2 linked regions of the Kluyveromyces lactis genome follow. The protein of the gene in region 2 purifies or fractionates together with the protein of the main gene of each other region. This does not show direct contact. Links are inferred from orthologs where the notes say so. Each region holds a gene or a part of one and is shown on either strand. Other genes may lie near its edges. The genes, in order: HFI1 and SGF11.

The links.
Region 1: the proteins of SGF11 (region 2) and HFI1 purify together in Saccharomyces cerevisiae (affinity purification with mass spectrometry; 7 studies listed by BioGRID). This does not show direct contact. The link is inferred for Kluyveromyces lactis from reciprocal best matches to the Saccharomyces cerevisiae genes SGF11 and HFI1.

What each region holds. Positions count from the first base shown.
Region 1 is NC_006038.1:899,542-916,441, forward strand, and holds HFI1 (Hfi1p), read right to left. Parts: upstream 6,414-16,900; coding exon 5,115-6,413; downstream 1-5,114. Other genes in the region: KLLA0_B10263g (uncharacterized protein), read left to right, coding at 1-375; v-SNARE protein VTI1, read right to left, coding at 656-1,321; YAH1 (adrenodoxin), read left to right, coding at 2,025-2,525; CIK1 (Cik1p), read left to right, coding at 3,150-4,991; KLLA0_B10373g (uncharacterized protein), read right to left, coding at 7,118-8,821; KLLA0_B10395g (uncharacterized protein), read right to left, coding at 9,976-11,154; KLLA0_B10406g (uncharacterized protein), read right to left, coding at 11,135-11,572; KLLA0_B10428g (uncharacterized protein), read right to left, coding at 12,166-12,651; KLLA0_B10450g (homeobox domain-containing protein), read left to right, coding at 13,336-14,505; nuclear cap-binding protein subunit CBC2, read right to left, coding at 14,971-15,567. UniProt on the Saccharomyces cerevisiae protein: Component of the transcription coactivator SAGA complex. SAGA acts as a general cofactor required for essentially all RNA polymerase II transcription. At the promoters, SAGA is required for transcription pre-initiation complex (PIC) recruitment.
Region 2 is NC_006040.1:983,954-999,759, reverse strand, and holds SGF11 (SAGA histone acetyltransferase complex subunit SGF11), read right to left. Parts: upstream 1,091-15,806; coding exon 797-1,090; downstream 1-796. Other genes in the region: ubiquitin-protein ligase RMD5, read right to left, coding at 1-562; CTA1 (catalase A), read right to left, coding at 1,440-2,975; KLLA0_D11638g (uncharacterized protein), read right to left, coding at 3,498-4,673; CAM1 (translation elongation factor EF1B gamma), read right to left, coding at 5,616-6,275; DIG1 (Dig1p), read left to right, coding at 6,895-8,013; alpha-ketoglutarate dehydrogenase subunit KGD4, read left to right, coding at 8,661-9,062; 3',5'-cyclic-nucleotide phosphodiesterase PDE1, read right to left, coding at 9,402-10,508; PRE4 (proteasome core particle subunit beta 7), read right to left, coding at 11,119-11,916; RTG2 (Rtg2p), read right to left, coding at 12,342-14,105; HFM1 (DNA helicase), read right to left, coding at 14,457-15,806. UniProt on the Saccharomyces cerevisiae protein: Component of the transcription coactivator SAGA complex. SAGA acts as a general cofactor required for essentially all RNA polymerase II transcription. At the promoters, SAGA is required for transcription pre-initiation complex (PIC) recruitment.

The sequences.
Region 1 (16,900 bases), on a different chromosome or scaffold from region 2:
ACTCTGTCCAATTTAGACAAAACTCAAGTCGATTCATTGTTAAACGAATTAAAGCCTAACATGCCACGTAAAATTGCAAGGCGTAAGAGTTCCAAGTCGTTAATTAACTTAACAGCTACGCAACTTGAGTTGACAGAAGAGGAGAAATATCTACATTGTATTGGTAGCACAAGACGTGAATCTGCAAAACTTGCTCAGCGCTCCGGAAGCATCATCAGTAGCGAAGAAGACGATGAAGAAGGTGTGACCTTCGAGAAACTGAAACAGAACCAGTTAGCCGAAGAAGAATCACGTCTAGTAAATGAATTAAGGAGGCGTCTATCTCATACCACTATCAATTCAGCTGATGAAGATGAATTAGAATGTCTTCCATGAACAGCGCTATGCTATTCTGACCGGCCTTTTTCCATCACTATTACTATCATTATCATTATTATTTTTATTATTATTATTTCTTATATCGTTCTTATTTTATATACAACTAGATAAGTATTCAAAATCAGATATCATTTATACACGGTAAATTGTATTCTTCTCATGAGAGTATAAAATTATACCACAAGGGTCAAAATTAAAATTATATAAATTCATTACTATAGCTATTCTGCTTAAACTTGCATTGAGACTGAACTAAAAGACGCAGAGAAATCGATTACTATTTGAATTTGGAGAATATCACTAACAAGATAAGTAGTATCAAAACCGCTATTATTGCGTAAGAAATGAACTTATTGGCTATGAGTCTTCTAGTCATGGTTTTCAAAGTGCGAATACTCTTGTCGACGTACGAATCAGCATGGAACAAAGTTTGTCTTGCATTCTCCAATGTTTCTCTTTGAGATCTCAAATCCATCATTATCTGTGCACCAACGTTCTCAGTCTCGGATGCCAGTCTTGTAGCATCCTGTAATTTATCACCAGAACGTTGTAAAAGCGCATGGTTCGATAAAAGCTGTTGCCTTTGTTCATCATTATCGAAGTGGCGACCTTCAAGTAACTTATTCCTATCGCTTTCTTGCACCAATTGCTTTAAAGGATCCTTAATTTCATTCTGACACTGTCTCTTATAATCTCTGATCTTTGCTTTATAAGATGCCCTTGTCTTAGAATCCAACGAGTTCCCTGTATTATTCAACTCTATTTCCATTTGATCCACTAATTCTAAAGATTCATCATGGTACTGTTGAATTTGTAAAAGTATATCCGATTTTCCACCTTTTAAAACAGCACCGGCATCATTCTTAGCATTAGCAAGCAAAACCTTCGCCTGGTTTATAGCGACTTGACATTCAGATTCATAGTTCTGCAATAATGAGGACATCCTGATAAAATAATATGGTTCAGAACCTTCCTTTTTATATTATCTCTTCCCGAATTTCACAACCTAAAGGAAATTTAAGGTTTGAATGTAAACTTGCAGGCCAATGTACGTCTGAAGTAGGCCCCGTTACCAGCTATAACAGCTTAATCACCAGGCCTGCTTTTCGTTGATTCCTAACATTAACTTGAACTCATGGGAGAAGCTTCAATAAAGGGAATAGAAAGAAAAAGAAAGAAAAATACATTGTTCACGTGACTTTGATTGAGTCATGTAAAGACCAGTATCTAGATAAGGGCAAACAATCATTTTGAACCACATCCGCCAAATCCGCGGAAGACCGAGGTGGAATCAGGCCCAGAAACGGTCTGTTTTTTTTGTCTTTGGTTTCATTTCATACCGGCGTTTTCATGAACACTGACAAATTGGGAAAAATCCGATGAGATTCAATAATTGAATGATTAACAATAAGCATTTGCCAATTTCGATGTGAACTGAAGGGAGAACTAGATATAAAGCAACCTTTTTTTGCCAAATAAAAGCTACTTAAGAATCAGAGTTGATAAAAGTTCAGGACAGCTTTTTTTCTCATTGTGGTATAGCAGACGGAAAGGGTCTTTGGTTTCCTTTTAGTAACACTTATCGTTGTTGTTTGTGAATTATTTTTAATCATCCATATCTATTTGGAAAAACTCCTGTATAATCAATGATCAGAGGAATATTGACTAGACAAGCTGGGCATCTGAACCAGTTAAGAGCCAGAAGCATTACTTCTCCTAGCATCTCTCACAACATATGGTTAGCCCGTACAAATTTGTCATGGAAGAGATACCATGGACATTTACATAAACCGAAACCGGGAGAAGAGTTGCATGTGACATTCATATTGAAGGATGGAACACAAAAGACTTTTGAAGTGGCAGAAGGGGACTCTCTCTTGGATATAGCTCAAGGCCATAATCTAGATATGGAGGGTGCCTGTGGTGGTTCTTGTGCTTGTTCGACCTGTCACGTGATTGTGGACCCAGACTATTACGACGCATTAGAAGAACCTGACGATGATGAAAATGATATGTTGGATTTGGCTTACGGGTTAACTGAGACAAGTAGATTGGGATGTTGCATTAAAATGAATAAGGATATCGATGGTATCAGAGTCGCTCTTCCTTCAATGACAAGAAATGTTTCATCTTCAGACTTCGAATAGAGAGAATGACTAAACTGAATTCAGTCATCATATGAAAAGAGACAGCTTTAGATCTTTCTTTTTTTCCCAACAGGGGAAGCATGACATGAGTGACACCAGTTGCATTACCTGTAAATAGGAGCAATCAACCAAGCTCGTTCGCAGTCCATTATCATTATTATTATTTATCATGCATCAGTAAAAGTTTCCCCACGCTGTGTACCGGTGCTATCTATGCACAATACATACATAGTTAAAGGTATTTTACTGTTACCCGGTTACCATATCGTCTTTCACATAAAGAAAAGATATATTTGTTGTCCACGTGACTTTCAAATGACATTTTACGTATTCATCGCTTTTTTTGTAAACATAAACAAATAGACTGTATGAGAAAAGCTTGAAACATCAACAGTTGTTCAGAACAGGTTTTGGGTTCGGTTTCAGGTGTGTCTCACCTGTGTATCACTGATTTCAAATTGGGCCGTGCGTTTGTTACTGTAACTACCGAGATAACGGGCGCCTTAATTTTCTTCTTTTTATTCAATTACCTGATTTTAAGGTAGGCATTATATTACGATTGCGGCGACAATCCTGATCAGAGCTTGTCAAGTCAATGCTATTGATGAACAGTGACCTTTTGTTATGAATGAGACTCGAATTCCATCTATAAATTCAAGAAAACGGCAGAAGCCGTTTTCTTCAGGTTCTGTGTCTGGACAGAAGAAGCATCATCCTGTGCTAGCAAATATAACGAATATGGTGACCACTACAGGAACAACGACAGTAGCTAACAGTAGCGGTTCGAAGAAGGAGCAATTTGCTCCTTCATATCAAACGAAGAGTCAAAGTACGAATATGAGACTATTGAACAAATATTTTTATGGGGATCCCAACGTTATTGAGGAGGTTAAGAAAAGAGAGAGAAAAGCTTTAAAAGATATTCACTTGTTTACTAAACAGATTGAGGAAACGGATTCTCGGTTGGAATCCCTTACTTCTGAGGTTATCCCGCAGCTCAAATACAATTTGAACAAAAGATCCATCATTTTCAAGCACTTGAAACAAGAGACCATGGTGATGCAGGAACAATTATATCAGTTGAAGAACGATTGTGAGCTAAAGAAGAAAAACCATGAGCTGATAACTAACAACTTGAATTTAGAGCATTCTATAAATATACAAGAAGTGATAAATCAATGGCAGCTGAAAATATCTGATAAAAGACACATCTGGGAACTTGAGTTACAAAAATTAAAACAAACTAAACCTGATCCGGCTGTCCTTAAAGAAATCGAAGAGTTAAGCACAGATAAAGCGATCATAGAGAATGATTTAAAAGATTTGAAACGTAAAAACCATGAACAAATTCAATCATATGAGAATGAATTAAAATTACGATTGGAAAAGTTCAAAGAAGATAAAAAGGAACCGCTGATAGCATCCATAGAAGAAAACAAAAAACTAAAGATTAAGATAAATGATCTGAAGGCAACTCAGGAAGCACTACGAGATAAAATTCGAAATAGTGTTGATACTGAACTTTCCTTACAAGAAATTATTAAAAATAAAAGATTGGAGCTACAAACGTTAGAAGCTTCATTGGAGCCGGTAGAGGAGAAACTTAACCAACTTCAATTGAGATATAAATCAGAGAAAGATACCACTGATGAAGTTAAAGCCAAAGCTAAATTAGCAGAAGCGGAATACAATAAAAATTATGATAGAATGGAACAAGAGCAATCGCAAAGAAGAATCCTGGAAAACACAATAGATGAGTTGGATGGTCACATTCGTTGTTTTGCATATCTTAATTACGACGAACTTAATGACTATGCAGTAGACTATATGAACAAATGTATTATCGGAGATACAGATGTGTTTTACTTTAGCAGAATTCTTCCGAGAGACTTAGTATCACCTTCAAACCTTTTCAATAATGAATGCTTCACCTTCGTCGATTCGTGCTTAAAGAGTAAGAAAAGTTGTAATATTATATCAATAAACGATGATTTGAGGAAAGATTTCCTACGAACGATAAATGAACGATTTTTGAAATCCAAAGTTCTTGTTCAGATGGTTGTATTGAACGACAGTGACCTTTCGAAGGATTTATTAAATTCTGAGGATTCTGATTTATCCGCTGTCATTGACGAAAAATGTATTGATTTCCATTCTAAAAGACTACCGATTGAAGAAGTGAATAATTTTATACTTCCCGATTTCAGAGGAATTCATGTTATGAAATTTGAAGTCTTCGATAAAGAAGATGATTTTGAAAGCATATTTTTCATCCAAGCACCTACTAAGGAAATTCAGAAAATGAATGCGATTGATATCACAAAGACGGCTGTCAGCCCAGTCTCGACCTTCTTGCAATCGTTATTATTAAGACTTGAATCCTTAATAATATTCAATTTTGATACACCAGATTCCTCATTATTACAATTATCACAAACTTTACATAAACTACCAAATCCGAAATAGTAGTCATATTCCCTGTCTATAAATTCTACAAAAAAATGAAAGCGTGGAAATTGTTCGATTAAATCAATCAGAAGAGTGACTTTTGGCTCCTTCAATTGAGAATATTCGCAATACTGTTAGTCATTATTTCTTTGTAAGAATATCTTTAATTAGCCAGTTAAGCTCTTCCCGGCTTCCCATATTCTTTTCGTCAAGGGGAGTGAAGTTAGGCTTTTCCCGTTTATAATGAAATAGATCATCGACAGGACTTTTGAAATGAACGATCTCATCGTCATTTACCAACCCATTTGTAGTTAATCCAAGGTATGCACCTGTTGGATCAACAACGTTGGGGAATATCGTGAACGAGTCCAAAGCGTCTTCATTTGTAATGGATACAGTTCTGTTACCAGTAATATCCTTCGCTTTATCACTCTCAGTCTTACTATTTGCTAACGCACTAGATGCTTGTTGGAACCCGTCATCGTTTAGGTCGTAGAAGTCCGAGTATTTCTTTTCTCTGTATCTTACTGTATCTATGGTGGATTCAATAATTGTCTTGAGATAATACTCTAATGCAAGTGATACGATATCAACACATCGCGAATCTATCTGTCCAACAATTCCATTTTCTCTTGCAATTCCTAGCATTCGAAGATAAAGAGACTCATTATCCGGTAAAACATATGACTCGGTAGAAAGTTGTGTTTTGAAACCATTCATGATCTTTTGGGACCATTCCTGTGGGCCCTTCAGATCTTGTTGCTGAATTCTCTTGGCAGTTTCCTGGTTGAAGACGCAAGGTAATTTCGGTATCTGTCTCAATCTAGCCTGTAGCACTGAACATAATACAAATCCTCGTTTTCCTGCTTCCTTTGTTATCATTTTTAATCGTTGTCTATCCGATAACGGTAGGGAAACAACAATTTTTTTGTATAATTCGATCTGCGAGTTGGGCTTGTTTGATCTTCTCTTATTCTGTTGTTGAGAACCGTTCTGGAACCCCCATTTCGATGATTGTGGATCATCGTCGGTGGTTTCTCTAAGAGAATTAGTGAATATCGATAGTAAAAGTTGGTTATGCAATCGTATTAAATCTCTTGGTTTAATATTCGGCTGTTCTTGGGTAGGTTTAAATAGTAAGTCTAATTCATTGACCAATTCCTTTCTGGACAATTTTCCGAGTATGAATAACGAAATCACTCTGGCATATTTCGCCCAATGCTCTTTGCTTAAAACTTCATTAAATTCATTAATCATAGATTCAATATCCAATCGCTTATCCTGAGGAAACCCAACGTTTCCTCCACCATTGTTATTACTGGTTTTGCTGATTTCCTTCACCGAATTGGTATTGTTGTTCTGATGGTTGCTATTAATACCAATATCTTCATGAATTGTCGGCGTACCACCTGTTGCAACTGTTGGCGTTGATACAGACATTCTCGGTCACGTGATTCGATATGCCTTTTATTTTTGACAGCGTTCTAAAATAAACCAAAGTAGAAATAAACCGCAGTAGCCAGAGACGAAAATTGACCAGTGGAGGGTTTCAAAATGAGCGGTAACCACGGCTAAATTGTCACCTTTTTTCAGATTATCAGTAATTACTTATCAATGCACAGTCAGTGCACAGTCAAAATCCGAATGAAGTACCTTGTTGTCCGTCAAATAGGGCGGCTTTCTCTTTCCTGAACTCGCTAATCTCATCCATCCTATACAATTTCATTCGATTTTCTGATTTCTTCATTTTCAAACGGAAAACTAAAACCGAAATTCGATTGGAAAGGCGAAGTGAGGGTAATTCCAAATAGTACTCAGTAATACGACGCGTAATGGGTATATGAGATATGGCTTTTGAGGAAATGAACACTATGGTTTGCTAACTTGCTGTCTACTGTAATATACTTTGACCACTGATACCACTCCTGGAACGGAATTGTCAATAGTATTCTGGCTATTCAATTACATCCTTAAGTATCGAAATTCCACTTTTATTCATTAATGTGATGAAATCACTCGACACTTCAAGAAAGAATCTGTCACGAGACAAATTGTTTCCGAATTGGTGATAAATGATTACTGACATTCTCGACTATTTATTAAATATTATTTATTAGATACTTGTGTTTGTGAGGTGAGGATATTCAGAAACCTAAGCTGTTATAACTTGGCGGAGAGCAGCTAGATGAAGTTGAAGGAATGTATATCAGAGATGAATTATTTGTTTGATCAAATTCACTACCAATGGAAACGGGCATGGCTTTACCATCCATAGCTGGTTCGTAAGCTGGTAAATGCAAGCTGGAACCCATATTTTTATCAATTATCATAACGGGCACCTTGAAATTAATGTTAATACGTCTTGTTTTGTCAGGAAAAGTGCCGTTAGTACAATCTTCCAGAGATGTACCAGCAGTTATCTTTAAATGATGGGTAATCTTAAGTTTAAAACGTTTCTCAGTTGAGTTCCTCCTGCTTAACCTTAACCTTGATTCCTCACAGTAGTATGGCAAGATCTTAGTCATTAAGGAACTTGTTTTAGAGTTTGTGTTAATTACAAGTTCTTCGAATTTAGCAGTTACCAGCTTCGATTCGTTATCATTTGGAGTGGGAAAATAATGACCCAAATGGACGGTATTAGTTTGGATATACGATTTCTTCAAGGGTGTAATGCCATCTGATTTGAGGCATGGTATCAGAACAAGCTGCACTAGGGAAACTGTGACCTTGGTGACTTTAGCTCCCATTTTCGTCAGAAAATTAAACTGACAGTGAAATGGACAGTTTAGTTCAATCAGCTTAGAAGATATGAAAAAATCATAATCTAAGAACCCTTCGTCATAAGTTCCCTGTGAACTGATTGATTCATATTTTAAAAGTGATGATGGGGACAACGTCTTAGTGATCAGAAATTTATGCGTTAAAAAGATAGTTTCTGAGAACTTAGAAGCTAATTGGGTATTACAATAGTTATTAATTGAAGAGGTACCATTAAATGGTGGTAACACAGTCATTAAAGTTTCGATTCTGTAAGATGTTGCACCAACCAGTGAATCAAACGAAGAATGATAATTGAAGGGATCCAAAATGAATGTGAATGGAATGATATATGTACCTTTCGTCAACACCATAGGGAATTTTTCAAAGCATGAGATCTCATCAGTGACAAAAGGTTTGAAAGAACTGAAATTGTCACTAGAATTATCTTTCAAGAGTCTAACCGATCTATCTTTTTTCTTTTGAACGTAGAAAAGGTCATCTTCTGTATCGTCGGAATCTGTTAGGTCATTTTGAGTTTGGCCCTTATTCGACCCCAAAACACAGATATACTCCCTTGAGTAACCGTTCAATCTCACTTTCAAATCTTGGACTATCAAAGACGTAGATTTCACAGTAATGACTAATTTCCCTGTCAACGAAGCCTTATAGTTGGATAATTCTTCTTCTTCACCTGGATAACGGTTCAAATCCATTAAAGAGGTATGCGATCTTAAATCCTCTTTCAAACCAGGTAAGTATACAGTATCGTTATCCAAGACTAACTCAACCCTCATGGTGTTCGAATCATGAATTTTTTTGGTCGGATTCAGTGATTCATCAAATGCATTATATAGGAAGGATGATGATACATTAACGTTCTGCCTTTTAAGGCTCTTCAATGAAATAATTGGCCGAGAGGACCCACCAGAATTGTTATCCCCACCGTTAAAGGGATTAATTTTCGGTCCTGCTGGAGAGATTCTTTGGTCAAGCACAACGGGCAGATGGTTTAAATCGTCGTTCTGATTATAAGCCGGAGGCTTTTTGTAGTCACATGACCCTGATAAACTGAGCTTACGGAAAAACATTATTTTTCCGTGGTTTTCAGGCGCGTATCTGTCGTCGGTCAAATTATGTGTTCTGCCAGATTTGTGGTATAACAGATTGTGAGTGGGGAAAGAAGAAATCAGTAACACCCAGAAGGGGCAAGATGGCGAAAATACTTATAAGGAAATTAAAGTAGGTGAACCAGAAGGCAAATGAGAAGAGAAGACGCGAAAACGCGTTAGTTTATATAATGCCAATTTCTGATCCAGATTTGTAGGACAATGAATCAGATTACACAAAGTGATGATTTGTCATACTCCGCATGTAAAACTGATTTTACATCCCCATAATAGAGCCACTATAGAAAAATATTTATTTAAATTGATTTAAATTAATTTCTTATAATTGTGGAAGATTAGTATGTTTAACTCGTACTTTTGTGGTCGAAATAAATTTCTAGATATCTTAGTATAGTAATGAACAGATTGCCTACCACTAGTCTAAGTAAGTACGGATAAAACATAATTCCGCAACTCTATAGGTATGTAAAAGATGAGTTGGCCAGAACTAATCTATACTCATCGGATCCAAAATACGACGTTGGTCTTTTTTGATTTATGGTGAGTTTTCCCTTTGTACTATCTAAGAATAATGCACAAAGTAAGAGTTTTTTGATATGTAGGAATATTCATGATGAAATTGAAGATATGTGTTGTCAACGCTGCAGCACCGTTAGTGTTTCACGTGTGGTATTCGCTCTGAACTAGTCTAATAACCCCTCTTTTTCATTTCGGTCTTTTTATGCGGAAGTAGGCAAACCTTAAAAGACACTATAGTGCCGCAGCACAGCGTTATTTGTTATTCAATATCAGCCCTAATACAATATGACTTCATTGAAGATATTCTCAGATATGACACCTGGGAAAATGAACCTCATGAGAAATAGTAATGAGTCATTAACATTTTTGCAAAAATTTATCACTTGTGACTCATGTCTTTGACAGGCAAATTTTGCACCAATTACCGGGACAAACTGAGAAAAAGAATGGGGGCAGTTCCAGATGGCAACGAATGACTTATCAGCCATTGATTTATCCGCTTTTTATATTAGAATCTGAATTAAAAGTCATATATGAATACGTATTATATTAGTTATTGTTGAAGTTGACCGGCAACATATCTGTCCACAAGATTATCAATGGCACAAGCCAGAGTAAGCTGGTGGAGAATCAGCAGAGGATAGTGATATGGGTGAGGAATAAGAATTATATTCGTCTTCATCAATTGTAAATGGCCCATTGCCTGATATAGCCGGCGATGGAGATTTATACGCCGGCAAATACAGGCTTGAACTTATATTCTTGTCAATGACCTCTATTGGAATTTTGAAATTAACATTAATGAAATTCTTTGAGCTTGAGTCAGATCCAGAGGGATTAATCGTAACAACAATTTTCAAACGATGCGTAATGCTCAATTTCATTACTTTTTCGCCATCAACTGTCTCCAACCTCGAGACTTCATTGTAGTAAGGCAATATTTTCGAGGTGAACAGATTGCAACTGGAACGGGTAGCAATTTTCAGATCCTCAAATTTCGTAGTAATGATATTAGATTGTTCATCGGGCGGTACGACATACTCTGCCAAGCGAAACGTATTGGTATTCGAGTACGATCTCTTCGCAGCAGCGATGCCATCCGGTTTGATGCAAGGTAGAATACAAGTTTGCAGCAGAGAAACATTGACTTTGATGATCTTAATATCGGGTTTCCCAATACAATTGAAATGACAATGGAACGGTGAGTCGAATTCGATCAATTTTGTAGAGATGTAAAAGCCATAATCAATGAGTCCATTTTGAAACGTACCGTGAGAATTAACAGATTCGTATTTCAAAACATCCGAAGGTGACAGCGTCTTTGTGATGAAACATTTTTGCGAAAGAAAGTAATTCTTAGAATCTCCCGAATCGGTGGGGATACCACTGATGATTCCCTTGGAAGGCTGCATCACCCTCAATAAAGTTTCTACTCTGTAAGTGGTGGAACCAAAAAGAGATCTGAAAGACGAATGATGTTTGATAGGATCCAATTCAAAACTGAAGGGTATAATATATGTACCCTGGGTTAAAACCATTGGATACGTATCAAAAGCACTGATTTCATCGGTGACGAACGGTTTCAAATACGAAAGGCTACCGTTTGCATTATCCTTAAGTAGTTTTAGTTGAGGACAACCATCGACGCCCGTTTCAAAATCAAGTTCCGCTTCAGAATTTGGATCTGAAATGCTACCATCTTTCAAATGTTTTTGTTTCATCATACACACGAATTCAGTAGAGTATCCGTTCAATTTAATCTTGAAGTCTTGCATCACACAAGTTGTATGTAGCTTTCACAGTAACGATAACTTTCCCGGTGAGAAGAGCCAATGGGCAATCCGATGAACTACCCTGCTGTTCAAATAAACCAGGTAAATAAACTGTGTCAGTATCTAAAGCTAATTCCAATCGCAGAGATTTGCAATCATGCAATGGTGTTGGCGGGTTCAACGCCTCATCGAATACATTATAATGGAATGGAACGTTACCCAATTTTTGCACATCTTTCAACGTCTTCAAAACCGTTTTTCCTTTCGAAGGGTTGACTTCATTCAAGGGAGCTATTTGAGGACCCAAAGCAGATGTTCGCAAAGATGAAAAAAATGGTTTGTGGTTTAAATAGTCATTTTCTGTATATTCTGGTGGATTCGAGCTGGAGTTCCCGCTTTGACTCAATTTTCTGAAAAACATTAGCGAAATTGTTTTATTTTTGGTTACTTTATCTTTCAGTGATCTTAGAAGCTGTAATTATAATCCATAGTAAGATAATTTGTCTGGAAGAGTATCCATTAACACACGGACAGTATACCATTATATATGTTCAAGAGAAGCATGTTTTTTCAACACCGATTGAACCAAGTATACTGCTGCTGGTGGAGTTTTCTTGAACGATAATGAATCATAACTGTGACTCGAGCATTCAATTTGTAATACAGTATAATCATTTTACCAGACAGATGTCAAATTCAGACAAACAAATGTTAAGAACAACGTACACCAGCAGATAGCCGCGATTAACCGAGTTACCAGACATCTCAATTCCTACCTAATAAGTTCCTAATTGTTCTGCCAGTTTCCAGCCATTCCAATTCCACTCCCAGTGCCAATGTTCTGAATTGTGTCATCTGTCATAAAATTCAATATATGAAAGAAAATTAATGCGTGTTCTTGTGCTGTCCTGTCCTGAACAGGGTTCATGTTGACAAATTATCCGCGGTTACCCTGAGATATCATAGAATCGACGGAGCCAACTTTAAACTTTTTCCACCTACATGCGGAAAAAATTAGGATGGTACTCCGGAAAAGTAATCAGTCCATCGAGTCTCCCACAATCTTAATTTTTTTTCCACAAGTATTACGACTTTTTTCCCAACGGAATTTTTGCCTGGCGGGGATTTTTCCCAAAGTCTTCTGTGCATAAGACCGATCACGTGATATGACACTAGCTTCATTGATAAGAAACTCTCTGAATCGATTGGCCGATTATGGCCGGGTAATTTAATGCTCTTAGGTCCCCTTTTCTCCTTTTCTCGGTGCACCAGAGAGACAGAGAGAGAGAGAGACAGGTGAAAATGTGTCACACATAGTTGACTATCATAGAAGGGGCCCGGGTAATAACGAGATATTCGCTTAATACTGACACATTTTTGATAGTGACTAACGTCACGTGGCCCGTATTTGTGTTGGATTTGGTTGGGCTGCGCTTCCTGGTCCCAATGAATGAGACGGCCCTTGGGCCGTCTCATTTTTAACAGTCCAAGAGTGCACATATATATATATACACACACACATCGTGGATGGCCCTTGGGTCTTACTTGTTAGAGTATTGCCCACTGTTTTGACTTGTCCATTGAAAATCCCTCCTGCTGCATCTTTTTCTCTGCCGAAAAGAAAAAAACGAACCAAAAACAACCCATGGAAAAGACCATTAAACTTACTGACAGGTAGAAAAGTCTTTAGTACTGCCAGTAGTAGTCACGTTGTTAGTGGCACATTCCACTCCATCCCACTTCTCAGAATTCCTTTCTTTTCTTGACAGCGGACTCTCAAGTAATCTTTCAACACATGTACCGTGCGGTGCTGTAAAGTACACCTTTACATTGTTTTTCTGTCAGTTGTTTCAATGATTCTACTCCCAATCTTTCAATCTTCAATTTTTTTCTACTGTCAAAAATCATATCCGTATTAATATCTGATATTTGATATTCGATATTTATATATATATATATTGTATATAAAAGAATATGTCGATAATAGAATACCGTGAAAAATTCCTGTTGAATTTTTGAAGGAGGGAAAGCTTCGAAAGCGCAAGGTAAGAAATTTTCGACGCTACCGTAACGTAACGTAACGTATCGTGTCAGCACTGAGTTTCGCACTTAGGTGGTGGTGGAATTTTTCAGTTTTTAGTTTCGAGAGATTTATTACTCTTATCCTGCTTTCAAAGTGATAATATGAATATCAATATTAATACGTTTGGAAATTCGAATCTGAATTCGAATGCGAATTCAAATGGTTATAATCCCAGTTCAGTTGCAAGCACTGCTAACACGCCGTATTTCGTGTCGAATGGTAATGGTGGTAATGGGCCTGGAACTACTGGGGCCTCGTTAGTAACGCTCCCATCCATTAAAACGCTACTGAATAAGTTAGAGGGAACGTCTTCTGCCACTTCTTCTCAGACAAATGACGTTCAGTACACAATGGGTCAAACTGAAATGAACCCACGTATAAGGACGTCAATATCAACGTCTTCTTCGTCTCCTTCGTCGAATTCAAGTTCGAGCCCGCTTACAGGCACTGGCAATAACAACCAAAAAACAGCCGGCAGCAACCATACCCAAGATGGACAGGTGCTGCCCCCATTAAGGGGCAGATCTCATTCCGAACCAATGGATCCGCTAGTCACGCTTTCGAATACGGCTACTCAGTTGTTAAATCTGGAATTTAACAACGTCAACAAGGGTACCGGCTCTGAGAGACAATTACAGTCCTTGTTACTTCATAGCAGGTCTTCTACGCTACCGGGACACTTCCCATCGATAAATTCAATGCTTACACCACCAAATTCGGCCAATGTGAATAGTATGCTCCCGGTATCAGCTGATAGAATGGCTTTGATCAACTCTAGTGATCCTAATCCTGGTAATAAGGTTTCTCGTAAATCGAAATCGAAATCTAAATCGAAATCGTTACTCAATTCATCAAAACGTTCGAATTTACCAAAGGAAGTCATCAACGTGCTTAACGATTGGCTTTTAAAGAATTTACATAACCCATACCCTACACCGCAGGTGAAACGTGAATTATTGGAGAAAACAGGCCTTAATCCAGTTCAATTATCAAATTGGTTCATCAACGTTAGACGTCGTAAAATCTTTAACGAATATTATAAACTGAACCAATCGGTGAATACAGACAAATCGGTGAGTTCAGAAATCCTGCCTCCAGATCATGATGACTCAGTGCAACACGAGGAAGATGGATCTGATCCCCAATTGGAAATGAGATTCCGTACTATACCACTTACAAGAAGGAAAAAATTGATAGATCGTCTGGATGAATTGAAACGTCTGTCATCGAATAATATGCCCCCACCTTCTCATCGTCGACAACCATCGTGACATTTGTCGTAATGCATATCATAAATCTACACTTTTTCGGTTATCGTTTAGCATGCATGAGAAGAAGATTTTACCCCTTCATATTAAGGTGGTCTTTTCTTTCTCCTAATTCTTTATATTCTTAATTTTTTTTGTTTTGTCTACGGTCAATCTTCAATTCCAGCTGTCACGAGCTCATTATAAGGCACAGCTTTAACTTTCTTTCATTTATTAGTTTATTAGTGTTTGTCTGCTCTTTTATCTACCATCCATTCATTTCACCCAACTCCTATTGATGGATTAAAGCGGCAAAATTTTTTATTATATCGAGATATCTTTAGCTCTAATATGAACTAGCTATATATTCAAATAAAATACTTCTTACCACAGTATTATTCTTTTAAATCAATTAACTTAGTGAAATAGGTACTTAGATTGAAATGTGATATATACACATCGATAAACGACCTTATGATTGTACTGTTTTTATTGGCCTGGAATGTAAGCATCTTCATCTTCTTCATATTCTTCATCCTCTTGCTGTATTGGAATGTTTTTAACTCTTCTGGCCCCGAAGTTGGCATTTGTTCCAATTCTATTCTCAAGTGGAGTGTAGAACCCACCTCTGGACGCATCGAATTCGAATCTCATCTCATCACTAACTTGACCACCATTCTTACCTCTACCGAACTGTCTTCCCTCTTCGAACCCAGGATCCAAGTCAATGGTTATATGACGGTCATCTAACTTCGTGTCACCCAAGTATTTTATAGAATTCAATGCGTCTTCCATCTTATCGAATATAATAAAACAAAATCCACACGGCGTAAACTTGAACCTATCTAGACCCATGATAATCTTTTTTATGGTGCCACATTTGGAGAATAGCTCATATATTTGCTCTTCACTTGTGTAAAACGATAGATTACCCACATAAACTGTACAGGATTTCATAGATTTTCTCAACTGTTGCAATCCAGAATCTGGGTCACGTCTAGCCTTACGGATCAAATAACGAGAGGGCTTATCTAACCTATCACAACTGTGATCGTACTTAATCTCATCAAACTCCGCTAGAGACATGGTATTTGCTTGACTGATGCTAGTTTGGGGTATTTGGAGTTTATCTGGAGCTATGGTGTCTTATGAACCTATAGATTTTACTTAATCATTTCAATCCCAAATTTAAAGTTGAATGAATCTTTCAAGTTTTTTTTTTTTTTCCATATAAGCCATATTATAAGTACTGAATACTTTGTGTCAGTGACAGGTTGTGAAAAATCAAATAAACAAATCGGGTGGACACTGCATCGAAGCTCTTGACTGCTGAGAAAGAATAATAAGTAACTTTCAATTAATTAAATTTGAGACTATCCAGTGGTTTCTCTGGAAAAATATTGTTATGCACTCTACTTTGACAGAAATGATTCTCAATAGCCATAAGGGAAATGTGGGAAGATACCATTTTAGAATTCATAACACACCCCCATGCCACCAAGAAGAATAAGATCCCTGTTAAATAGGTGCTGATTGTTAAAATTGACTACACAAGTATTTCCAAGAGATTCAGCTACATACTAACAATATCTGAAGAGAAGGTTTCAAGTGATACTGTTTCCATAATAAAAACTAATGTTGATTTCTATTTTGTATGGTTACTATCCGATATAGTGTAACGGCTATCACATCACGCTTTCACCGTGGAGACCGGGGTTCGACTCCCCGTATCGGAGTATTTTTGAAATTTTTTGCTTTTGCCAACAACCCAACAACTGAAAATAATGAAGATCGACATTAACGAGCGGACCGTGATATATGATACTGATAACTAATCCGTCACAATATATACCACTGTAGAGGCAGTAAACTATCAAGATAGAATTAGCAGCAGTACCTGTTTACCACACATTGGATACGTAATACAATGACATATACGGTATAGACGACAAGAAAACAAACAAACTGATAGACATGAATACCAAAGTATTTCAGACATTTATGAGATGAGATATGGTTGAATTGTTATAAAGATTAGAAAACGTATGTCGAAAAACAAGTAGTTGAAAATTGTATTGGCCTAGTGTAAAAAGGAAGTAAAAATGAGAAAAAGAAATCAGTGATTGTGACAGTATTATGATATTGTATTTCAAGATTGAGAAAGGTGCGAACGAACGGAATTACTATTATCAGTATAATAAAGCCATAAAAGGAGAGAAATGAAATATTCATCAATGATTCATGATACACTATGTATGAAAATTTGTAGAAAAGGAATAGTCGTAATGAAAAAAAAAATAGATATTGTTTCATGTAAACATCTAATCGGAAGCAAACTTCTTTTATCTCTTTCTTTTAATACCGTGAGGTTTCAATAGTTCAAAGCTGCACATCAAGCCAGTAGTCACACTCATGACAG
Region 2 (15,806 bases):
TATTATCCTGACACCATCGGATACAGGTATTCAAGTTGCCTGATCTCATTTCTTTAACAATGTTGGCCATTTCTATATAATCCATTGCAATAGATCTGGGGATCCTATACGTAGAGTGCAAATACTTCAGCATTTCATCTGACGTGGTTCCTACAGCCATATTAGTATAATACCTTGCGATGTGAGAAAAGATCGCCGTATCCAAATAGTACAATTTCTGAGGGTTTATCTTGTTCACATAAACAGAATCCAATTGAAACTCATTCAAGGGCTTGACGCACGCCTTTGAAAACTTCCGGTAAGTGCTGATAGAAGAGTTTAAGGATTTCTTCATGGAAGAATCCCAGTTCTTATGAGATTTCGCTAGTTTCTCCCTAATAACAAGACGTTTCTGTGGACTTGATCCATGCTTCAGCAAATGCGCTTTCAATTTCTTCAACTGGATCTTAAAGTCGTGCACTTCTTCAACACATTTCCCAAGCTGGGTCCTGCGCTCGTCTTTATCAACGTATAATCTGGAATTGACCCATTGTTGATCTAAAGTCTCTAGCAAAGTCGACATAAGTAACTCAGTTTAATTCTCTGAAGGGTACTTGCTAGTTCTAGTGTCTCTAACTTTCCGCTCTTCTGTAGAGTAACACCTGACAACTCTTTACACCGTTATAATGATGGGTTAAAGATCGTTATCACAGGTTTAAGGGTACAGGGTACGATGCTGGACAACTTGATTTGAAATGACACACATTATGGGTTTGGGGGAAGATTTAAGGCTGCACTAAGGCTGGGTAATGAAATCTCACCTTCTACCACGTGATAAGCATCTAACGAGATGAGCAGCGAACCTGTTCCCACTAACTTCCCGTCCACAGACATTACATTCGATGTAAACGGCGGAGTCTGCTTGCTTTGCCTTACCGTGTATATCCAATGTTCCTGACGGGTCAGCGTAATACGGTTTAGCATCCGGGAATTGCAGTTTCAGAAGCTTTCTCTTCACTGTTTGACGCGAGATGATATCTTGGATGATAGAAGTAAGAATGTTCTGATATATGGAATCGGCAACCGAATCTGTGGTCAAAGAAGCAGTCATGGTTACAGCCACCTCTTGATAGTTGCAAATACTGAATAAGTCAAGTCAGTACTGTTGTCTTATGTCTGATCGTAGAACAGAATTGATTGTTTCAATATCAAAGTAAGCTAATTTGACCTTGCTTTTCTATTAAAATTGGATATTGCAGAAAATTGACGATAAGCACAGGGAATACAAGCAGAATACAAGAGACAACAGTCGACATGTTAGCGGCTACAATGCCTGATACCATGCATCTCATTACGGACAGATATTAATAGTATACTTGTAATAAATATGGGGATAAATAAAACGTACATACAAAGCGGAAAGAGATAGAGAGAGAGAAAGAAAGCACAGCTAATTCTCTCTATAACTTTGCATTCAATGCAGCAGCCTTTCTTGGGGATAAGCTCAGAGCTTCCTTTTTGATGTTTTCAGATAGACCACGGTCGACTCTTGCAAACATGGCAAATACACGGTCTTGGATTTCAGGGCATGCACTTGCTACGTGTACTGCGACATTGTGGGCCAATGCCTTTTGTTGACCTGGCTGTTTGCTCAACACTTTGTTATACAAGTCTCTGGCTTGAACGAAATCGATGTCTCCTGGTGAGGTTGCCCAATGTACAGGCATTGCAGGCCCAGACCATACTTCTTGATGTTGTTGAATTGGCTTTGATTGTTGAATGAATTGGTACTTCTTAGAAGTAGACAAATAGTTTGGCTCTTTGCCCAAATTGCCGTTAACGTTCATTGGGCCATCTCTGATAGCTGGGTTGAAAACCTTCGATGCATATGGACAATTAACAGGGATTTGAGAATAGTTAGGGCCTAATCTGTAACGATGGGCATCTGGATAAGAGAACAAACGTGCTTGTAAGACAGGGTCAGCAGAAGCTTCTTGGTATGGGACGGTGTGCGATGGGGAGAATGCAGCCTGTTCCACTTGAGCGAAGTAATTTTCTGGATTTTCATTCAAAACCATCTTACCTACACGACGCAATGGGAACTGCTTATGAGGCCAAACTTTTGTTAGATCGAATACAGAGAATGGCAATTTTTCTGCCTCTTCTTCGGTCATAGTTTGAATGTAAAGGGTCCAAGATGGGTAATTACCCTTGGCGATGTTTTCAAACAAATCCTTTTGACAGTAGTCAGGGTTTTCACCAGCCAACTTAGTCGCCTCCTCGTTGTTCAAGTTCTTAATACCTTGATCTGTCTTCAAATGCACTTGCACGTAGCGCCATTCACCTTGCTTGTTAGACCATTTGTAAGTATGACCCGAGTAACTGTTCATGTTACGATAAGAAGCTGGAGTACCACGATCGGAGAACAAGATCATCACTTGATGAATTGCGACTTGATTCTCCTCTGTCGTCAAAAAGTCCCAAAACATGTCAGCATCCTTCATATTGGTTTCTGGGTTTCTCTTTTGAGTATGAATGAAATGTGGGAACTTAGAAGGATCTCTGATGAAGAAGACTGGCGTGTTGTTGTTGACCCAGTCGACATTCCCTTCTTCACTATAGAACTTGATAGCGAACCCTCTTGGGTCACGTGCCGTATCGGCAGAACCCTTCTCACCACCAACAGTACTAAATCTAACAAGGCATCGCGTTCTCTTCCCCACGGTATCGAACATCGCTGAACCGCACACGTCCGTGATATCATCTGTAATTTCTAAGTACCCAAACGCACCTGATCCATGAGCATGAGGGTTACGTTCTGGAATCCGTTCTCTGTTGAAATGAGCTAACGAATCAAGAAGGTTAAAATCCTGCAACAACAAAGGACCATGCTGTCCTACACGTTGCGTAGCAAATGGTTCATTAATTGGAGCACCTTGAGAGTTTGTGACCACACGGTCTTTCCTAACATCCGCAGTATTAGTAGGATGGCCCATGGTTAGAAAAAAATTTTGCTTATGTGTTGAATGCTATGTTCAGTAATGGTTTTATACTACTGTAAATATAATCAACCGTATCGGTAAAAGTATGTCGACACTATGAATGAAGAAACGGTTACAGAATCAGTCATGATGTTATATATATAGCCCTAATATACTCTGTTCCATTATAAATAAACGAGTTTTTGCCAAATGATCTCCAATCCATACAATGGATCATCTAAATTACCATCTGTGTAATCTCCAATATCAAAAGGAAATGGCCGCTATTTGAGCCTGACTCAGCAAGAGGAATTGAGGATAAGGGATGAACGAATGCTGAGATAACCCGGAAATAACGGCTTGAGGCTTCTGTAAAGGGCAAAAGCGACCGCTTAAGGTTTTAAGGTGGCGGTAGTACGGTGTTTTCTGTGAAGGTTTCCGATGCAGTTTCGGCTTTTATAGTGAGGAGGATTTCTGGTGATAAGCGCGGGGTATTTCTCCGTATTAGGAAATTGCAGCCGATATGGGTCGTGCATATTAGTCACGTGATGAAAATTCAAGCCAGCATTCGTTCATTAAGGGTCTTGTAGTGTAGGTGTCTGCCATTCTCATCATGTCGACGTCCGTTCCTTTGATGGACGTGGCTCTGCCACGTCCACTTGTCCCCATCAACGAATCTGTCTGTTGCTGGTACACCTTGTTGCACCATTCGGGAGAAATATCAGTGGTGTACCTTGAATACAGCTGTGCTATGCAGTATTTCATCTCCATCAATGCAAGGTTCATGCCAAGACACATTCTGTTTCCTTGTCCGAAAGTGAACATGGAATTGTTCATTTTCGTTAACCTTTTCTCGTACTCTTGTTCGGTTTCCCCTGTTGTTTCGTCCCTTAACCATCTTGCCGGATTGAATTGTCTTGGATTGGCACCGAATGGTGTTTCTAGTAGGTGTAACGACCATGGTTGGCATGATACTATGGTCCCCGGTGGAATTTCTACACGGGTTCCGTGTTTATCCCTTAGTGTAGCTTCGAATTTGGGCCCCTCTTGTGGGACGTATCTGGGCTCGCTGCCCGGGATCGCCGAATGGAGTCTACATGCCTCTTGGACAATACTGTGAAGAATCGGCATTTGGTCTAAACGTTGTAAATCCGATGGTACTGTTTTACACTCTTCAAACAGTTTATCTTGCCAGTGTCTGTTACAAGGTCTTGAAAGTTCCCAACATATGTAAGTCAAGGTGATACCAGTAGTCTCGTGGCCCGCTATCACATGATCTGCGATTTCACTTGCTATCTCTCTGAATTGTGTTTGAGAGATTGGTCCCTTTCCGATTTTCTCATCATACATCGTGGATAGTACGTTACCCACAGGTGATACTATCGTGTTATCATTGGTAGATGACCCTATGATTCCCTGCTGTAACGGTTTTAATGCCTCCTGAAATTTATCCCATATCCATTGTTGAGATTTGGCCGATTTCTCACCAATCCCATACCATCTTGCTACAGTGTCCCATAGCATTGGGGCCAGTGTTGTATAAAACCACATGCTACTACTCTCTTGGAACCCTAGGAATAACTCGTTCCGATGAGCTTTCCCCTCACGGGTATGATCCAGATCCGTAATGAAATTCGTACTGTACTGTGGCCCATATTCAAACCCAGATACGACATCCAAGGCAAGAGCCAAAAACAAAGAATACACGTTCATCGGTTTCCCCAATTCTTATCTATCTGAATCCATGCTTTATCAACTTTGGCGCTGATATAAACGCCGCTTTGTATCACATTACTCTTGGAGTATATTTTCGAAATGTTCTTCTTCTTTTGGATATGGGTCTTTGTATCACCGGTACTGAAAATGTTCCTCGTGTTGAAGTTACCAAACTGAGAATAGAACCCCACACCATTGTTTTCGAACTCTTGTAGGGAAATTTCCCATGTAAATCTGTTTCACGTACTTGAAGGAATTGAAGGCTACCTCGTTCGGACCTATCTGTACTAGATCCCCGTACTTCTCATGCAATCTTTGTAAATATTCATTACGTTGTTCCGTACGAGCCTTGTTCAATATGAACCAACTGCTCAACTTCAGATGTTTCGGCCCAGGTAGTGAACTCAATGGACTGAAGACCAATGGGTATATGACGAAGTAATGCAACAAGCCGATTAGGATGACTATTAATGTCACGATCATTGCAGTGGTATTCAATCAGACAGGAAGTTTCAAGCAGAAAGGGCAGACAGTCAGACAGTCCTTGCCGGTTGGTTTCTGTTCCCAAATACCGTTTGTAGACTTCTTCCAAGCTGATCTTGTATTTTCCCTTTTCTCCACTAGTGGTTGCTCCATCTTTATCTCTCTTTATATGGAAAGAAATCTCGATAATATGAGTAATCATCCCGAATATGCAACATGGTGGGAAAATGAACACTGCTATTACAGCGTAAACCCCTTCATGTTTACATTCTGTTACAGTCCCGGAATTTCTATCTCTTATAGGACTGCTTTTCCCGGATAGACCGGCTAGTACCTAATTCGTTCGAGGTAACTTCTCGCTTGACGATCTTTGAAGCTTATCTCATAGACAAAGTGTTACTGATAGAGAAGACATGTATATAAAGAGATGTATAAACTTGAAATTTGTCAATGCGATCATTTGGTTGGTGGGTTTGGCAATGGTTCGTCGCAGAGTGTAATACCCTCCCATAAGAAAGACACGAATGGATCTTCAGTGATATTAGTGAACCATTGCGTCAACTTTGCATGTTCTTCACGCCATTTCTTTCCGTACAAAGTCTCGAAGATCCTAGTGAAAATAATAGCACTCAAATAATCTGCAAGGGACGCACGGTCACCAACGAGGTACTTGTGGTCGTTCAAACGTTGTTCGTACCTTTGGACAAGTCTGTCCAATTCTGCATATGCGTCATCCACTTGTTTCTTATTGTAAGGGCTTCTGCCGTTCAACGGGAATGCACCGCGAGTAAAAGCTAGGCACAAGTCTGTATTGGCAAGAGATAGCCATTGCAACACCTCAGCTTTTTCCTTGTTGCCCTTACCTAGTAGACGCTGGATCTCAGCATTGTTATCGCTCAAGTTGACCAAGTAAACTAAGATTGCAAGCTGTTGCGTTAACTTAAACCCATCAGAACCAACGTAACATGGAACTTTCTTCAATGGGAACAACTTAGACCAGTACTCTACGTTGCTCTCTGGCTCCAAGATCTTAACGTCCAAACTCAAGCTTTTCACAATTGCGCGAGGTAACCAGGTTCTAATACGGAAATTCGCAAACAATGTGCCTTGTGACATTTTCGAATTCTCTATAATGTTGATAGAATTAACTAATTGGATCTTTACCTTAAAACCTCAAAAAAGTAAACACAATCGATGCTTATGAAACTAGTTTGGTTCGATAGCACAGCACTGTAACTACAATTGTCAAGTTTGAGATTCCTAGCAGTAGTGGTAGAACTTTAAGCACACAAATTTTCCTTTTCTCCTTTCTTTATCCGTTTGCATTCGTTCCATAATGTCTTCCCAATGTAGTTTCCTTTTTAGTCCCTTTATATAGAAAATGTGAAACATTTCCGTTAAAGGCTTTGAAAGAACGTGAACGACAGCAACACTGGATGGCAACAGTGTTCTCAGAGTCACGGTAGGTAAGGCAGGTAAAGCAAAGTTGCATATTTACGGATTGCTATCTCTGAGAGGTTTTGTATTCAATTGGACTGTACATATAGCCGTTGAAGATTAAGTGAGGGTCTGATAAATAATAAACATTTCGTGTCTTCTGTGACTTTAGTGGTATATATAAACACACTAACACGAGAGATACACTAGCGGTGGATAGATTTGAGTACTGTGATAAGACAGCTGTGCATCTCAGTGTTTTATCCGGACAGTAGCGCTGAAATAAGTAGTAGAAAACATGCCAATGACAGATCAAATGCCCTCACCACCAAGTATAGAAATTTCTGATTCGCAGTACCAGAAGCTTGGATTGCAGTGTATCTCGCCAGGGATAGCGACTGCTAATTTGGATGACGAACGGTTGCAAACGTTTAACAAATCGAAGTACATTGCGATGCAGCAGAAGAGACAGATCAGGCGTATGAATTTGGATTCTGTAACGATAAATGAGGATGAGCATGAACACGAGCATGAGCAAGAAAACGAGCAAGACGAAGAGCAAGATGACGAGAAAGAACACGAAAAAGAACATGAACAGGATGAAGACCAAGAACAAGAACAAGATGATGAAAACACGAAACTTGCTGAGAAAGCTGGTACCAGCATCAAAAATAATAATAATATTACAGCCTCAGACCTGGAAACTGACAAATCATCCTCAAGTAATTCGATAGATGGTACCACCACTCCTGGTACCGAGACTTCAATCAACACTTCCAAGAGTCAATCCAAATCATTGAAAAGAAATAACATACCAAAACCACTTACGTTAAAATCAAAGCAAAATACACCTAATGGATCATTACCCAATATAAGGTCAGCTCCACCGATGGTAACAAGACATCCAATTCCAAGTTCACATACATTCTCACAAAGAACCAGCAGAGTGTCGAAACCAAGAGTCATTTATAAAGGCCGGTCTTTGACCAGAAACTTAGCGGGCCAAATTCCGATGTTTCAAACTTCGTCACCCATCGTGCCGCGTCCCCTGATGAGACATCAATATGCGCCAATGACAGCTTACCCTACAACCACCGCACCACCTCACACCCAACGTAGTTTCGAACAATTCGTGTCGAACCCTATCAGAGCCACTAATTCAGTGACAAGGGACGTTTTCAAGGATGAAACTACAAGAATTGCTCCATTAAGCGTACAACCTAAATCCACCAAGAGAGAATTCTTTGATGCCATTGAAATCGAAGACCATAGCAACAACGTCGTCATAGAAGGCGATATACAACTGATGATGGAAAATTTCCAATTCCATTTCGATTCAACGGACCCTCAAATGGATAAGAAGCTCTTCCTCAGCATTTGTTCCAAAATATGGGACGATGTAGTAAGCAGGGAATAGGCGCTCCTTTTCCCCACCCTCATATAACATATTTGTAACTTTAAACAACTTGATCGAGTGCATGGCGTCACTAGACCATCCAGATGAATAACGGTTGGGACAGACGTGACACTCTGTCACGTGACACTCGTGGTCACGTGGCTCACGTAATCGGATTTCCGGTCGTCCTCTACGCGTTCCCAATCGGGGCCGATACAATGGCCGGGTAATATATTAATTCCTCGAAGTATCCCAATATGCTTGCCAACCTTTAACGGTCTTGATGTATATATATATATACATACTCTCTATCAGTTTTATTAAGGCTCTCGGTTTATAAGGTTCCTGTAACTGAGTAGATTGCCAATTAACAGATAAAATTGTTGGTTACTTGTGAATCGTTGATTGAACAGTCGAAGTAAGAATAGTAACCAGGTTTTTTTCCCACTTTTGTGTTAAGGTTTCCTCATTTTGTGATACATCCGATTTTGATTCCCGAAGGTATTGCAATTCAAGATCGTTATTTAGACCATTCACTTGCTGTAAGAAGTGATTAATCCACCGTGACGTTCATTGATAGATTAACGAGATCAGTGACCCAGATATTGAAAAAGGCTCGCGGATCTGGTGTTGAAACTTTGAATAAAGAGATTATAAAGCCTGTAAAGATGCGTGCTTCCACTCTTAACTTGGCTAAAGCAGTCAAATATGTTCCTTCAATCAAGTTTGTTGGCGGCCCTCACCCTGTAGTGACCCATTCTGCTGCGGATGCTGGTTTACATCCTTGTACCGTTGACTCACTAAGGCCTGGTGCTCCCGGTTGTTCTACGGTCGAAGAAGTCGCAAAGAAATGGCTTCCATTCAAGGTGGTTCCATACGTGAACTCAAATAAGAGTGCTTCCGGTAAGGGTTCCTCTACTAAAGCTGCTGGTAATTCACCAAAATATGTGTTTAAAAACAGACCTTTGGAAGAAAATGAAGTTGGATCCATATCACAATTACCCCCAAGATTCAAACTGAGACCTATGGACGAACAAGAGATAGAAATCATTAACGGAGGTGGTATATGATAGGATCTCCTTTTTTTCAGCCTCTCATTTTTCCATAATCGTTAAAGAAACATAATACCAATACATTTATTTATCATAGTTGTACGAACTCACTTGGTTCTGCAATATCTACGACTCATTGAACAGCAAACGATCCATTTCGAATACAATTCTTTTTTTTTTAGAAAACACCATTATCTATTATGATTAATACAACAATTCTACTTTTACCTATTAATTATTACATCTATAACCTTTTGGTGCCAAACATCCTTGCCATTCTTTTGTCTATGTGATTGGTCCTGCCCAGGCAATGGGATAAGGATGAATTTTTTTCAAATTATCACGCTAATCTGTATATCAAAGAATCATTGTAAAACCTTGGATCGCCATGGAAAAACTGATATTATATTTGTCTAATCCTTGCTGTTTGCACCTTTTATTTACCTGTTTCAACACAGTGATTTTGGGATCCTCTTCTGAATCGATATCCTTCACATGTGTTAGAATCACATGCAAGCTAAAATTCTCTGGCTTCACATCGTATACCTCTATTAGCCTTTTCAATTCCCATATAATATGCTGAGGACACAAGTGCCCGTATAATTTGCTTGTATCCACTTCGTCTGTGTTAGAACACTCAAGTACGATGGCCTTCAAGTTATTAATGGGTACATTCTCTGCTAGATATGTCCATATGTTGAGTAAAGAGTCTGTCTTGGAGACAAGATCTGATTCAGTGTCACCACAAATCAGAACATGTCCATCAGTTTGGTGCTCATGGAATAGAAACGCTGTGCTCAGTACAGGTTCTTTGGTATCTATTGTTTGACCATGATTCAACGTAAACGGTATGCAATCAATGCCCTGTATTGAATAGGTATTCCTGCGAATCGAAGGTTCTAGTGCTTCTAATCTGATCGTGTTGTCTGTGGTGAAATCGGGCCAAATCTTATCATTGAATATATGTTCTTTTATCGCTTGTATGGTATGTTCTGTGCCATAAACGTTCTTATAGGATCCCAGTTTGGTGTAAATTAATGGGGCATTGAGTATTAGACCCATCATATGATCGAGGTGCGGATGTGTGATATAATATTCCCTAACTTCGGAGAATATTTCACAAGCGGTCCTCATAATGCTGCTGTGGGCCTCTGCGCTTTTCTTCAGGAACACTTCACTTGGTGTACCAAACCCAATGGTACACCGTACCCCTTGTGCAAGAAATCGTGAAACGTCTTCGGCACTAGATTTGTATAGACTCTTGACTAAGAACGTGTTACCGTATTCCTGTGCGTAGATCATATCTGCGATCTCAGCTAGTCCGGACCCCGCATCAATGCAAATATATCCTGATTCACTCGATCCTGCGCGTTTCATCAAGAAACTCTGTGTATGATTGTTTAGGGGGCCCCCACAGCTTCCTAAGATAGTTAGTTCAAATGAGCATCCAGGATACGTAGACATCTTTTCACTTTCGAAACCAGAATGGAAATATATCGCAAGATATCGGTAAAAATCTGTTTCCTGGCGTATAGATGCCTACCCTACAAGCCAGTTGTATTTGAGAGTATGGAATATAGGTATACTGGGCTAGCGCTATAAGTCCTCTAGTCTTTCCTTTGTCGATGATTCATTAATCAATTAGGTTACTACTTGTTTATATAGAATTAAACTTGTTTTCTAAAAGAATTGGAACTGTAAAAGAATAAAGAAAGGTAACTCCAACGATAACCTTCATATATACAGGTCCCTTCACTCGAAATATCTTAGTGACATAATGACTGAGCTGGCTGTCCAGTAGTTGACAGCATTGACGCCGTTTTGATCAGTTTCTTTCTTGGTGTATTATGTGTGAATATGTGCCCTAATTCAGAATTTACGCATAGTATACATTTATAGAGAAAACACAGAAGAGGTGAGGTCTTCCCGTTATTGACAAAGAAAGTATATATTACCAGAGCAGGATCACCATGTGTTGCTCTTCCTTTGTTGGCATGAGATTGTGTATTTTGGTGCAAGTATTATCTGCGTGGATAAGTGAAAGCATGAAGACAAGACGAAGTAAATCCGAAACCTATACCTTTTGGGTACCATATCCTCTGATGTCTTTGGCGAATTCCCAAGACATATTCTCTACTTGTAGGTCCTTTTCGATATTGAGCCCCAGTTCATTGTCGATTATAGCCAATGAAAACTTACGTGAACTACGGGCATCACGGTAGTATAATATTTTCATTGCCTCTAGGATAGCTTTCTTAGCAACATCTAGATTCACTTTTTCCACGTCCTTTTCGGTGTCTACTAGCTTTCTTAAAAGGGGCAATGCCAAGTGGGCACCGAACCCTGTAGCCAACGTTGGCGAAGAGTATGTGACACCTAATAGGTTAACGTATCTTAAAAATGGCTTTCCATCTTCTGTGCCCCCTACAATTATCGCATTCCATAAAGGATCTAACTTGGATCTACGTTGGTACATCACAGATGATAGATATTCAAAAACGAAGCTTGGTTTCAATTGCTCCTCATTATCCGCATATGCGCTATCGTAATTGTTTTCAATTTCCATCTCGTCTAATAGATGTTGAATGTATTGCATATCGGAAATGTCACCGGATACACCAACAACCGTGTTGGGACCCACTTTGATCAATCTCTCCTCGTTTGTGAAACGTAATAACGAACCGTAAGCACCTAGATTATCAGCTGCAACAATAACACCGTTATTATACTTAATACTGATGACAGAAGTACCGGTAATAATAGGGTTCTGAGTATTCATCTTTGGATTATTTGACGCTTGGGCAATGGCATGATTGTACGCGCCATAGTGTTCGTCAGATGGCCTTCCCCAGGCAAATGGATCGTGATTCATGTTGGAAAGTGTTTCAATGGATTGGATTCGCAGAAAATACCCTTGGTGACTCTTTAGTGTTGATTGTAACCTGTCGTGAAGTGAACTCCTTATGTATTAATTATGAATTGCATGTCTCTCTTATATTCGATAGTGGCAAAATCGTTCTAATAAGGTAAAATGTTAAAGGGCGGGTAACGCTATATTTTTCCAGCTAAAACAGAGTGATCAACAGAGGATACGACCATCGGATAGTAGTACACAGCAGCGCACTACACTACCTATATGGCGCTTTCACGAATATTTATATCACATTTTAGGGTCTGAGGCTTGTTACAAACAGGGTAAATTAGATATTAAATCTTCAACAGGAAGGGAGGCTGAGGGAAGTAAAATAAAGAGCATTCTATATAAAGCCTATACATACTGAGATCGCAATTGAGTGTTCAATAGAATTCTACATTGATCTTAACCTTGTCGCTGGAACCACGGGATAATTTCCTTATTTTCTTTTGCAACGTGATGATTCTTTGCCTCACAGAAGCAATAGTCTTTAGATCGTTTCTGTTAATCTTGACAACAACTTCGAATATCCTCTTGTTCGGGTTCCCTGTTGGAGTTGGCTTGCCGTTTCCTGAAAGGTTCTCATCTATAGATAGCATCTGTAAATCAATAGCCGATTCATCTTTCTCCGAAGTGCTGAAATGGAAGACACCATCTCCAATGTTACCACCAGGGTGAACACCACAAATGACATACATGATAGTGCCAATGTATTTTGTCCACCATATTGTCCTTTCACGTTCTAGTTTGTCACCATCTCTTAGTGCAATGTCTTCCAATAGCTTTTTGTACACTTCTTCAGGTTCTGGTATGTCTCCACCCCATCTATTGCACAATGCTATTCCCACCAAAGCTCTTGATCTGTGAGATAGCCCATGACACCCAGCAATGATACCAGATGTACCTACACGTAGTGCTGCGGTCGGTTGTAGTTCCTTTGGATATGAAGCGTGTACGAAAGCGAGGTTACAAAGAGCAGGAGCTATTCTTTCGTATACTATCTTTGGAATCTCTTTAGTAGGTATAGCAGTCCTTAATAGTTCCAAATATTTGTGAACAAGCAAAGGAGCATAGGGTCTGGTTGCAATGACAAGTGGATCCTGTGCTCTAATCTCCCTTGGAAGAATCGAGTATAAAGTACCTTCTCTGACACCACCTTCACTGAAATGAACGTTTTTGATCTTGGGCAATGACTCGGAAGCTGCTGCCATGAGTAGGCCTACAGCTGGTAATTGTTTGGCTCTTCTATCAGAGACTTTAAAGATCTTACTTGCCGATTCACCTGGAACTCTCTCCTTCAAAAACAAGTAGTCACACATGTTTGAGAACTCGCTAAAACTGCATGAAAATCCATTTATAATTGTTTGAATAGGATATTCTTTGATCTGCGATAATAGAAGATGACCCATCCCTCGCAAGCCACCACCGCATGTATATAAATCGAACCCGCCGTTTAACTGTGCTTCATCGTACATCTCCTTGGGGATGCCAATCTTTGTGACTGCAGACTTGTAAGCATCCACAATTTCCTGAAGTAAGACGTGCTTGCTTTCGAATTTCATTCTTCTTGTCAGAGCACCGGCCCCAAATGGTAATGAAACCGGGGTAGATGATTGAGTAATTTCCCCATTAACACATTTGATCCAAGATAGTTGAGTACTACCACCTCCTAAGTCTATGTATAACCCAGATACAGTATTGAACGACGATATGACACCGTAAGCACCAATCCTGCCTTCTTCTTCTTTGGTCAAAATTTCCACATCCCAACCTGTTGAGTCATAAATAGCATCTATAAACTCTTGAGAATTCAATGCTTCCCTAGTAGCTTCTGTAGCTACTACTCTGACTCCTGTTTCTGGAACACCAAAGTCTTCACAAATTAATTTAAATCTCTTCATAGCAGAACAAACTTCGTGGATAACCGCAGTAGGAATAGGGGCCTTGATAAGCGAATTCGCAGCATATTGCACTTCATACAAAGAAATACCTACTCTATCTTTGAAAACGCATGGCATTATCCTAGCATGATGTGATGCTTTAGATGAAATACTGAACCTTATCCCATTGGAACCTATGTCCACAACACCACATAGATTGCGTGAAACAACTTCAGTTTCATTGTCGCTATCAGATATCATTGACATACCTCAAATATGCTATAAATACTCAATGAAGCCTGTTAGCCCCTCCCTTCACTTGTTACTCAGCTAGAAACCTAGATAATTCTTCTATACCTTCTTAAGTCGTCCCATGGTGGTTATTGTCTAGCTTGTCTAGGATTGCGAACTTCAATATTTTAAAGAAAACAGAAAATAGTCATCAAAAACGATGCACGTGATTTTGTGAGGTGTGGTAAGGTTTATCTTTCTTGGTCAAATCGAGTATGACGACTGCTGCTGCTGCACTAACTCATCTACAAATAGGTTGTCGGTATTTTGATTAAAGAAATGCCAATCTGCTGGAAAATTATTATAATAGCTAAAGATTCCACCGACTTAGCCCAATTCAATGTCGGATCCTAAGAAGTTTAGCAAATCTGCATCTTGAGTGTCAGACAACGATGTATCGAAAGGGCTACTCTGTTTAGGGGAACTTGAGGGTATTATATATGTGATCTTTTGTGTCTGCTGCGCTGAAGACACCTTGGGAAGGGAATTTATTGGATTTTCCAGAACCGGCTCTGGCTCCATTTGCTGACATTCGTCAAGGTTAGGGAGCATACTCTTGGAGGAAGATAATCCTTTCTGCAAATCGTTTCTTGCATCCTTAGATGATGATGGTTCTTCTTGCTGCACACTCTCAGTATGCTTTATCATGCTCTGTTTCGATGCCTTACGCCTGGTGTTTCTAGGAATTCCTTCCCGGCAACAAAGATGGCGGCAAGTTGACTTGTCCTTGCAAGTATGGTGACATTTCATGTTTCCATTATCCAATAGAGATCTGTCGCAGTCTTCTTGTCGTTCATTGTTAGCATTTGAATTATTTTTCTCCGCTAACAAATTTAATAGCTCTTCATCATCATCTGTTTCATTGTTTATAGTTTCCCTGGCGTCACTGTAATTTATTGAAGTTTGGAAAGAGCCAGTTTGGTTTGAATCAATCTGTTCAAGTACATTCGAATATTTTGGCATATCGTCATAGCACCCATTACTCAAATAGTACCTGATTTCACGATTTGATCCGCCTATTTGCTCACATGAATAGACAAACTCGATAAAATTCGTGTTTCTGTCTACCTGGATGGTTATTCTGAAGGCTTTGGGTGTCTTTAACTTACTCAAGAACGTTCGCCGAAAATCTATTAATATGCCTGTATCAGTCTTCAACATGATCAGCATACAAAGTTGTTGACCATGCCAAGATGCAGATTTAAAATTGGCTTGTACTTCTACTTTAAATGAAACATGGATTGCGTTTTGAGTTACCGTCTTTTCTTCTACACTGTATTCGAGCGATAATAAAGGAATCATTTGTAAGTCACTTTTGATTTTATATCCGTTGCCTGGTCGCAAACTGAGATAATATTCGATCTGTTGTTCTGTGAGTTTTTCCATATCTGCAAATGTACATACTCCGTGACTCACTAATTTCCGTAGTGATACCAAACCAATGGTGTTTAGTTGTCTTAAGATCATCGGAGTATCCTCCCAACCTTTACCGGCGACACTACGCAAAAGAAATAAAGTACTTTTCAATGAATCTCCATCATATTTCTCAATAAAGCAATCAATCATACATTTGAGTACTCGAGGAGCATGTCTGAAAACAAGCATCTTATCCTGAACTAATGTTTGGTGATGTTTTTGTGCATCTTTGTAAGAAGGATACTCTAAACCGCTTAATTC